Linked DNA regions of Schizosaccharomyces pombe. Each later gene encodes a partner of the first gene's protein in a complex. Each region holds a gene or a part of one and is shown in the gene's direction. Other genes may lie near its edges. The genes, in order: prw1 and pst2.

Region 1 (4,196 bases):
CTTTTATGATGACACAAATCCAACATACATAGCTGAAAAGAAGCTCAGCTTGAAATTGGGGTTTGTACAGATCCAATTACGAATGGTAGGAAATGTTGATTGAGTATTAAACCTACCTGAACTTGGGAAATGAAATCCAGTATACTGCTCCGTAGGACCTATAACTTGTTGCTGCAGCTGGGGCCAATTAATTCGGATCAGACCTTTACTGTTAATATACTAATAAACGTATTGTGTTAGTATTATGAAAGATAAATACGATTTTCAGTGCGAAACACAAGGTTTTTAAAACCTCTAAATATAAATAAAGAATCAAACTTAAGCACTTACAGCAATGGTAGCGAAAACGGCGGAGCAGGCAACGATGAATAAACGGCCCAATTTTCCTAAAGCAAATCCGGCTGCTAAACCAAGAGAGCTTCCAATAAAGATTTGACGGTAATTCAGCTTAAATTGAGAGGTGATAGTAGTTGCAGCACTTGCCGAATCTTCACACAAGACTGGGCGAAATGGGTGAAACCTGTGCAAGAATCCTCTTCCTAGAAGTAAACAATTCATTATGTGAGAGTAAAAAATAAAGAAAAATAATAGAAAAGGTACAAATTTGGTGGAAACGGTTTAGTCTAAAGGTGGGAATTATTACGAAACGTCATGTCTCGAAGATGTAAATAAAAGATGGATAAAGTATCTTCGTTGCTTTTTCTTAATCAGCTTACTGAGAAAGTGTGTGTCTTAAGGTAGATTTATTATAAGAGAAAGATGTAAACAAATGTATTGTGTACGAAGTATTTAAGTGAAAGGTAATTTTGTGCTTCTTCATCATCGTTTCTAAAATTAATAATGTTCCTTTTTAAGATCAACGATCTTTTAGTTTGGTATGACTTGCTTCGAAGTTCTTTTTTCTTGATGTAAAGAACGGCATACATATTGAAACGGGATTGTCTTCATTTTAACAATTAAATTAAATATATTTCTCATTTCTTTTACTAAGGGTACGCAAGAATACGAGGGCATCTTGAATTCGGCTTCTTGCTCGTTTGGTTTTCAGTATGACTTGATGCATTTTCCAAGGATTGCAGAACAGGTGGGAGATCATTATTTTAAATCATATACTTTTTATTCACGCTCAATTGAATATTCAAAAAAAGGAGAACTTCAGAAATTTTGGCTGCGTTTTGCTATTGGCGATACACAAGTTGAATGTACCTTAAAACTAAGAGGAACATAATTTTTTTACCAATTTTAATAATCCTGCTTCTCAAGCGGTTGTTGCCTTGTGTGACTAAAAAAAAGCTTCAAAGTGTTTCTGTTCTTGACGCACTGATTCATGCAGAAGTTAGAGTAGATGAAATTAGCATGAAAGCAAAGTAAAAAAAAACTCATCTAAATTAAAGATTCTTAACTCTCAGCTCTATAAATTTATCTTTCCATCTTGTGTCTTATAGCAGTCCATCGGGAAGCTTGTGCTACCCAAATTATATCTCACTTCTGTATACATATGTTCAGCAAACATAATCATTTTTAGTAATTCAACTTTTTACAATTAACAGTCTCTTTAAAAGTTGCAATTTCTAGCACTGTGGAAACGCATCTCAGGTCGAGAGAGAAGATGAAAAGACGCTAGCCGAAGCATGAGACAAGATTAAGTTTCTATTGTTTTTTCCCATTTAAACATCTATACGGCTGTGATTATATAAAACCTAAACAATCTTAATTTATAAACCAACCTGCACCTATTTAAGAACACTTAGTGTGCACATTAGCGCTGCACGCGTCTACTCACCATCCACCAAAAAGCAGATTCAATCATTTTAACTAGAACATAATGGCTGTATCAGCTGTTCCCCATCCTTCCAAGCAAGCGCAGGCTTCGGAGGAGGGAATAAATCAAGAAAAATGCATCAATGAAGGTATGTCTGCAACGTTTTAACATACAATTTCTAGTTGATCAATGTAAAATGTGTTTCTAATCTGAAACAGAGTATAAAATTTGGAAAAAGAACTCACCGTTCCTTTACGATTTAATAATTACTAGAGCTTTGGAATGGCCTTGTATGTCACTACAATGGTATCCAGAGCAGCAAATGTAAGTCAATCATTTGAATCATAATGTTTAATCTTGTTTATGTGACTCAAAAAACTTACCATTATTTTTTGTTATAGTTTTGCAGAACATGGATATACTGAGCAGAAAATGTTTCTGGGAGTTCGTGCTGATGTTGGCAAATACTTACTAGCTGTTGCGTCTATTCAATTACCCTATTTAAATCAGACTGTTCCTCCTACTACAATGGAGGGAGCATCTGCGGGTGACGAGTCTTCTCTACGTGTTAATATCTCAAATCTTTATTCTCATCCTGAGTCTGTTTGTAGTGCGAAGCTTATGCCACAAGACGATTCTTGTGTAGCTACGGTGGGTAACTATCATAATGATGTGTTGGTTTTTGACAAGGAATCCTTCGAATCTTATAGCTCGGCTAGTGAGTCTCCTCTTAAGCCCAAATATAGATTGACCAAACATACCCAGCCCTGTACTAGTGTTTGTTGGAATTTTCTTTCTAAGGGTACTTTGGTTTCTGGATCGCAAGACGCTACTCTTTCTTGTTGGGATTTGAATGCTTACAACGAGTCAGATTCAGCGTCAGTTTTGAAAGTGCATATAAGCAGCCATGAAAAACAGGTCAGTGATGTACGCTTTCATTATAAGCACCAGGATCTTCTTGCTTCAGTTTCCTATGATCAGTACCTTCATGTTCATGATATTCGTCGCCCTGATGCTTCCACAAAGCCAGCTCGAAGTGTGCATGCCCATAGCGGTCCTATTCATTCTGTTGCTTTCAACCCTCATAACGACTTTATTTTGGCTACTTGTTCGACTGACAAAACCATTGCACTTTGGGATTTACGGAACCTTAATCAACGCTTACATACATTAGAAGGACATGAAGACATTGTAACAAAAATTAGCTTTTCTCCTCATGAAGAGCCTATTCTTGCTTCTACCTCAGCCGATAGAAGGACCTTAGTTTGGGATCTTTCAAGAATCGGGGAAGATCAGCCTGCTGAGGAAGCTCAAGACGGTCCTCCGGAGCTTCTTTTTATGCACGGAGGCCATACTTCTTGTACAATTGACATGGATTGGTGTCCTAATTATAATTGGACAATGGCAACCGCTGCTGAAGATAATATTCTTCAAATTTGGACACCTTCTCGCTCAATTTGGGGTAATGAACAATTAGAGGAAGATGCTACGGCATATTTAAGTTAACCGGTCGTATACAACATTCATTGATATTTTACTTAATGTCCCAAACCTGTTTCTCTCTTTAACTCCTTTTTTTTTCTACCCTAATTGCACATAAAAGCAAGTTTTTGATTAACATATATATATTTAATTTTGTTTTTTTTACATGTTCAGAATACTCGTAAGGCAGCACGAGATAACTCCCATAAAAAGTATTATGAAACGATACAGTGTCGGTAGACGTGTGATTTGCAAACACCTAGAGATAATGTGATTTTCATTTGCAAAACATAGATAGATATTGCAAAGGCCAATGGTAGTACACAAACATACATAAGTTTCTATATCATAAGATGTTAATAAACAAAAGACAGGATTTTCACTTACTTTTTTTCCAAATAGGTGACAAAAACTCGGAACTTTGGTTTATTCCAATACAAATTCCTAAATATTGTAAAGAACTTAAAAGAAATATGCTAGTCACTAGCACGTTTTTCGTATTTGATTTTTCAAGTTGCCATTCAGGTAATTCAACCCAGTTCAACTCGTGTAGTATTAAAGTCAGCAAGCCATGGGATAGCCATATTAATACTGATTGAATTCCTAAATCCTTTACTCTTCCTTTGCCAAACAATGTTGAATTAGGGCGATTGCTTGTCAAATTTTGAGCAGGGTCGAAGTAACTCATAGCTGCTGACAGTGGAAATATGATTAACAGATCCATAAACAAAAATTGGTTATCGTTAAAGTTATAATTTTTTAAATAGAGAAAGAAGACACCAGAAAACTGGACTATAGCACACAACACCATATATTGAAAACAACGATGGCTAAGTATTAAGGAGCATCTGCCCTCCAATAAGACATTAAAAACATCCTTAATTGATTTTTTTTTGCTAACAAAGGAAGCTGCAGCACATGCCTCGGAATCAGAGAGAGAAACTCCAACATC
Region 2 (6,397 bases), 3.0 Mb from region 1:
GAAAATTTCAAAAGGTAGTCTTTGTTAGTTCCTTTTGTGGTAAACGCGATTAGTGGCCAGTCACTTACAAAACTTTGTTAAAGCAGACTAATAGTAGTCAACGTGTGATTTTATTTTTTCTTCACCGCTTACTTCTCAAAAGCCTCCTTTTTAATTTACTATCAAAAACGGCAGTTTTGGCAGTTTTTTGAAGGTTTATTGGTTTAATTAATTTATTCTGTAAAAACAAGGAAAGCAAAATTACAGATATTTGATTCTTTAGATTTTCTTAAACCCTCTCGCATCTTCGTCTTATTTTGGCTTTTTTTTTTGTTAAATATAGCAAGTTTGCGCCTCTTTTATTTAAATTCATTTTTAAAAAGCCACCTTTCATTCTAAATTTACCTTATTCCTTTTTCTCCCTGTGAAATTCAACCCTTACCATTTTTTTGAAATTGGTGACTTTTCGTTTTCAAACTATGTTCGACCTCGCAAGACAAACTCGGATTATCCTTTTATTAGGTATTGATGTTACTTTTTTCTTCATCGAAATTATTACTGGTTATGCGATCGATTCACTTGCCCTAATTGCTGATTCATTTCATATGTTAAATGACATTGTCAGTTTACTGGTCGCTCTCTGGGCTACTCGTCTAGCACATTCAACATCTCACGAACCAAAATACACATATGGCTGGCAACGTGCAGAGATTTTAGGTGCTTTGTCGAACGGTGTATTTCTCATTGCCCTTTGCATGTTCATTTTTATGGAAGCCATAGAGCGCTTCATTGAGCCTCCTTCTGTCAGCAATCCCACCCTTATGTTCTTTGTTGGTTCTTTAGGTCTGCTAAGCAATTTCGTTGGTATCTTTTTATTTCATGACCATGGTCATGATCATCCTCACACCCATACCGCTCAAAATTACGATTTTCCTGAAGAAGATGATATTGAATCCGTTTTACCTTCGACTATCGTTCATCGTTGTAATACCAGTCAACAAGAAGTCAGCCATACACACACTCAAGTCGCAGACTCTGCTACCGAATCTTCTCCTTTATTGAGTTACACTGGTAATCATAATGGTGCTGGTACTTCAAAGCCAGTCAACAACCATGGCAGTATTGAACAAGATGCACCAAAACAAACGAAGAAACGAAATTTGAATATGCATGGTGTCTTTCTTCATGTCTTGGGTGATGCTCTCGGTAATATTGGTGTTATTAGTGCTGCTTTATTCATCAAGTATACTGACTATTCTTGGCGTTTCCTCTTTGACCCATGCATTAGTATCCTTCTTACTTTCATTATTCTTTTTAGCGCAATTCCTCTCTGTAAATCCGCTGCTCTCATCTTATTACAAGTTGCTCCTCAAAGCATCAAACTGGATGATGTTTCCAACCTAATTAATCATCTAGACGGCGTGGAATCTGTTCATGAACTCCACATCTGGCAGCTTTCGGACGTTAAATTAATTGCCACTGTTCATGTCTGCGTTACACTTCCTGATGATAAGGGAGAGTCTTATACAAAGCTTACTACGGATATCCGTAATGTCCTTCAATCTTTTGGTATATATGATGTTACCATTCAACCAGAATTCGCCAATCATCCGCTTTTATGTGACCAAGGTTCCTCGTCTTAGTTTGCGAACATTATAAATTTAACGTGGTTAATCTATTGTGTCACATCTTTTGATTTATTCTTGAGGTAAAATTTTATATTGAATGTTTACTTTGTTTCATTTTTAAAGCGTAATTTCTTCTGCCATTCCTGTTCGTATTTAAAAACTTTATTTCACCATCTTGGTTGTTTGTTTTGCGAATGCACTTAAGTAAAGTAGTCGACAACTTAACTTTGAAAGTAGATAGTTTTCGATTTCTTATTCTTGATGAAGACGATGCATAGTTTCGGTTTTATTAAATCTCTATTATTCTTAGAAAATAATGTTTAGATGTAGTGTTTAATTATTTAAAAGGAATATTTTTTAACAATTATATTGGGTTTGATTCTTCTCGTTAGTATTTTTTCTAAAGTATTCGTTGTAAGTGTAAAACACCATCCAATGTGGTATTTGTGTTCATGTCTTGATAAATCATTTGAACTTTGGCTATCAGCGTCAGTTCATGTAATGCGTTGACGAGTTTGTGCGCTTAGTTGCATTTGCCGTTTCCCAAATCATCACCTCCAAAATAAACGAGATCGTATTCCTAGTCATTTGATGGTTAAAGATCAAAATACATGGAACAAACACTAGCGATATTAAAAAATGGTACGTATCAATTTAATACATAACTCATTTTAACCAATGTTGTTAGACAACTCAACGTTAGTGGCCGAGATGCAGAATCAATTAGTCCATGATTTTTCCCCTAATGGTACCGCACTCCCCGAGCTTGATATAAAGGCATTCGTTCAAAAGTTGGGTCAAAGACTGTGTCATCGTCCTTATGTTTATAGCGCTTTCATGGATGTTGTGAAGGCTTTACACAATGAAATGTATATATGGCTTATTTACTGAGTTGCTTTGAGATAGCTCTTTTTTTATTACTATTCACTTATTAACATGAACATTAGTGTCGATTTTCCCGGGTTTATTGAAAGAATATCTGTAATCTTAAGAGATTACCCAGATCTTTTAGAATATTTGAACATCTTTTTGCCCTCGTCTTATAAATACCTTTTATCGAATAGCGGTGCCAACTTCACATTGCAATTTACCACCCCATCTGGTCCAGTTTCTACACCGTCTACTTATGTAGCTACTTACAACGACTTACCTTGTACCTATCATAGAGCTATAGGATTTGTTTCACGAGTTCGACGAGCATTATTGAGCAATCCCGAACAGTTCTTTAAATTACAGGATAGTCTTCGTAAGTTTAAAAACTCTGAGTGTTCGCTTTCTGAGCTTCAGACTATTGTAACGTCTTTGCTAGCGGAGCATCCATCTTTAGCCCACGAGTTTCACAACTTTTTACCAAGCTCCATCTTTTTTGGGAGTAAACCTCCTCTAGGATCGTTTCCATTAAGAGGAATTCAGAGTTCCCAATTTACGTTGAGTAATATTTCTGATTTGCTTAGTCAATCAAGGCCGGACAACCTCTCACCATTTTCACATTTATCAAATGAGAGCAGTGACTTTTTCAAAAATGTGAAAAATGTACTTACCGATGTAGAAACTTACCACGAATTTTTAAAACTCCTGAATTTGTACGTTCAAGGGATAATTGATAGAAATATTCTGGTGAGTCGTGGGTTTGGGTTTCTTAAATCGAATTCGGGACTTTGGAGAAGCTTTTTAAGCCTTACTAGTTTGAGTCCGGAAGAGTTTTTATCTGTATACAATTCCGCTTGCTCAGACTTCCCGGAATGTGGCCCGAGTTACCGATTGCTTCCTGTCGAAGAACGCAATATTTCTTGCAGCGGTAGAGATGATTTTGCATGGGGTATACTTAATGATGACTGGGTCAGTCATCCAACTTGGGCATCTGAAGAAAGCGGTTTCATTGTTCAGAGGAAAACGCCTTATGAAGAGGCAATGACAAAGTTGGAAGAGGAACGTTATGAATTTGATCGGCATATTGAAGCTACTTCCTGGACAATCAAGTCTCTTAAAAAAATTCAGAACCGTATAAATGAATTGCCGGAAGAGGAAAGAGAAACATATACTCTCGAGGAAGGGCTAGGTTTACCATCAAAAAGTATATACAAGAAAACTATTAAGCTTGTTTATACCAGTGAGCATGCAGAGGAAATGTTTAAGGCCTTGGAAAGAATGCCTTGCCTCACATTACCATTGGTAATCAGCAGATTAGAAGAAAAAAACGAAGAGTGGAAGTCTGTTAAAAGAAGTCTTCAACCTGGATGGCGAAGTATTGAGTTTAAAAATTACGATAAGAGCTTAGATTCACAATGCGTTTATTTTAAGGCAAGAGATAAGAAGAATGTATCTTCAAAGTTTCTCTTAGCAGAAGCCGACATTCTACGATCGCAAGCGAAGCTCCATTTTCCTTTGCGAAGTAGATCAGCTTTCGAATTTTCTTTTGTATATGACAACGAAATAGTACTTTTTGATACTTGTTATATGGTATGCACATACATTGTATGTAACTCTCCCTCTGGTTTAAAGAAAGTTGAGCATTTTTTCAAGAATATATTGCCTTTACATTTTGGTCTTGAAAAGGATAAATTTTCGATATTCCTGGATCAAGTTTTTCGTGGTCCTGATTACGATGTGAATGCCCCGAATATAGTTGGTAACAAGCCTGTACGTCGGAAAAGATCTAATTCTATAACCCAGTTGACGGAATTTGTAAAACAACCTAAAATCAATGGTCAACGCGAAAGTCGTTCAGCTGCAGCTGCTCGCAAAAAAGAAGAATCCGGTAACAAATCACAATCTAACTCTCAAAACTCTTTAAGTGATGAATCTGGAAACGTAACGCCGGTTTCTAAGAAACAGCTTTCACAACCTGCTGCAGCCATTAAAGCCAGTCTCAAATATCCAAGTCATCCAGATAGTCTTTTGGAACATCAAGATCATGCTGGTGATACGGAGAATGAAATGCATGACGACGTCGATAAAGAACAGTTTGGATATTCTTCTATGTACGTATTTTTTAGACTTTTTAACTTATTATACGAAAGGCTTTATGAGCTTCAGCGTTTGGAGGATCAAGTGTCCATTATCCAACAGCGTATAATACCAAACCCAGTATCTCAAAAACAAAAGATTTGGCGCGATAGGTGGAATGATCTTTCAGATGTCCCTGATGAAAAAACTCATTACGAAAATACTTATGTGATGATTCTTCGATTAATATATGGGATAGTTGATCAAAGTGCCTTCGAGGACTATCTGCGGTTTTATTATGGCAATAAAGCCTATAAAATATATACTATTGATAAACTCGTTTGGTCTGCTGCTAAACAAGTCCACCACATCGTTTCCGATGGAAAATACAAATTCGTTACTAGTTTAGTCGAACAAAATAGTTCTGCTTCGCCTAAGAAGAATTATGATGACTTTCTTTATCGCTTGGAAATTGAAAAGCTTTTGAATCCTGATGAAATTTTGTTTCGATTTTGTTGGATAAACAAATTTAAATCATTTGGAATCAAAATAATGAAGCGAGCGAATCTTATTGTGGATCAAAGTTTGGATACACAGAGACGAGTTTGGAAAAAATATGTTCAAAATTATCGTATACAAAAACTTACTGAAGAAATATCTTATAAAAATTATCGTTGTCCCTTTCTTTGCAGAAATATAGAGAAAGAAAGAACAGTTGAGCAATTGGTTTCACGCCTTCAAACAAAGTTATTAAGATCTGCAGAATTGGTTTCCGGATTGCAAGCAAAATTATGTTTAGACTCGTTTAAATTGCTCTACTTACCACGCACAGAAGATTCTTACATAGATGCATCTTACCTGCGCCTTAGAGATACCGACTTCCTTGATTGCCAGAATAAAAGAAAACAGCGTTGGAGAAATCGATGGGAATCGTTATTAAAATCGGTTAGGGGAACTTCTGACAACACGGCAGAGGTGAATTTTGATGCTGACATTAATGCACTATTTATCCCATAATGATTTTAATGCAGTCGACCTACCTATTGATCATATTTACTTAAATACAATTTGACTTTAATAGTTTTATATTACTTTGTTAACATAACTTATCTTTCTAGGTATTTTATAATTTCAAGGATTTATGTATAGTACGAATTTACTGAAATTTTTGCACATAAGCTTTGTATTAAATTTTCTAAAGCCGTACTTCTGTAATTACTACATAAAATATTACAATGCACAGATTTTTATTTACAAACAAGCGGTTGTCGTAGCAACCACTTTGTTTACCCTCAAAAGTTACCACCTGCGTTTTGTTAGAAACAAATACCAAATGGCGAGTGTTGCAATTAAAGAGCCCAAAACTGCTATAACCCCGAAGAAGAAGTCCAAAGCCTCTCGTCTTTGCTTTACTCCGCCAACTAATCTTCATAATAATAAAAAAAATATATTCTACACTCGCTACGATTGCATTGGTGAAGGCGGCTTTGCGAGATGTTTTCGAGTCAAAGATAATTATGGAAATATTTACGCTGCTAAAGTTATTGCTAAAAGGTCACTACAAAATGATAAAACAAAGCTGAAGCTCTTTGGAGAAATAAAGGTGCACCAATCCATGAGTCATCCAAACATCGTAGGATTTATAGATTGTTTTGAAGATTCGACGAATATTTACTTAATTTTGGAGCTTTGTGAACATAAATCTTTAATGGAACTTTTACGTAAGCGAAAACAATTAACTGAGCCAGAGGTTCGGTATTTAATGATGCAAATTTTGGGAGCTTTGAAATATATGCATAAAAAGAGAGTCATTCATAGAGATTTAAAGCTTGGAAATATTATGC

What was found.
Region 2: the proteins of prw1 (region 1) and pst2 are in contact, whole or in part, in a cryo-EM structure (PDB 8I02), measured with the Schizosaccharomyces pombe proteins. Residues at the interface, in NP_594864.1 of Schizosaccharomyces pombe: Glu23 (codon at 1,892), Lys24 (codon at 1,895), Cys25 (codon at 1,898), Asn27 (codon at 1,904), Glu29 (codon at 1,910), Tyr30 (codon at 1,983), Ile32 (codon at 1,989), Trp33 (codon at 1,992), Lys34 (codon at 1,995), Lys35 (codon at 1,998), Asn36 (codon at 2,001), Pro38 (codon at 2,007), Phe39 (codon at 2,010), Leu40 (codon at 2,013), Tyr41 (codon at 2,016), Asp42 (codon at 2,019), Leu43 (codon at 2,022), Ile44 (codon at 2,025), Ile45 (codon at 2,028), Thr46 (codon at 2,031), Arg47 (codon at 2,034), Ala48 (codon at 2,037), Leu49 (codon at 2,040), Glu50 (codon at 2,043), Pro96 (codon at 2,258), Leu98 (codon at 2,264), Leu118 (codon at 2,324), Arg119 (codon at 2,327), Val120 (codon at 2,330), Asn293 (codon at 2,849); in NP_593646.1 of Schizosaccharomyces pombe: Phe889 (codon at 5,007), Arg892 (codon at 5,016), Leu893 (codon at 5,019), Glu896 (codon at 5,028), Lys897 (codon at 5,031), Tyr958 (codon at 5,214), Asn960 (codon at 5,220), Tyr961 (codon at 5,223), Arg962 (codon at 5,226), Cys963 (codon at 5,229), Pro964 (codon at 5,232), Phe965 (codon at 5,235), Leu966 (codon at 5,238), Cys967 (codon at 5,241), Arg968 (codon at 5,244), Asn969 (codon at 5,247), Ile970 (codon at 5,250), Glu971 (codon at 5,253), Lys972 (codon at 5,256), Leu979 (codon at 5,277), Leu983 (codon at 5,289), Lys986 (codon at 5,298), Leu987 (codon at 5,301), Glu992 (codon at 5,316), Leu997 (codon at 5,331), Phe1006 (codon at 5,358), Lys1007 (codon at 5,361), Leu1008 (codon at 5,364), Tyr1010 (codon at 5,370), Leu1011 (codon at 5,373).

Annotation. Positions count from the first base shown.
Region 1 is NC_003424.3:5,109,504-5,113,699, reverse strand, and holds prw1 (histone chaperone, Clr6 and Rpd3L complex subunit Prw1), read left to right. Parts: upstream 1-1,817; 5' UTR 1,818-1,825; coding exon 1,826-1,910; exon of another isoform or gene 1,911-1,980; coding exon 1,981-2,086; exon of another isoform or gene 2,087-2,163; coding exon 2,164-3,268; 3' UTR 3,269-3,406; downstream 3,407-4,196. Other genes in the region: fun14 (integral mitochondrial outer membrane (MOM) protein), read right to left, coding at 4-219, 331-558; Ca(2+)/Mn(2+)-transporting P-type ATPase P5 type Cta5, read right to left, coding at 3,407-3,585, 3,632-4,196. UniProt on the Schizosaccharomyces pombe protein: Has a role in chromatin assembly and chromosome segregation. Involved in the deacetylation of histones.
Region 2 is NC_003424.3:2,158,354-2,164,750, forward strand, and holds pst2 (Clr6 histone deacetylase complex subunit Pst2), read left to right. Parts: upstream 1-2,132; 5' UTR 2,133-2,218; coding exon 2,219-2,249; exon of another isoform or gene 2,250-2,295; coding exon 2,296-2,476; exon of another isoform or gene 2,477-2,554; coding exon 2,555-5,570; 3' UTR 5,571-5,725; downstream 5,726-6,397. Other genes in the region: ER zinc importer, CDF family, Zhf1, read left to right, coding at 459-1,622; Polo kinase Plo1, read left to right, coding at 5,887-6,397. UniProt on the Schizosaccharomyces pombe protein: Has a role in chromatin assembly and chromosome segregation. Involved in the deacetylation of histones.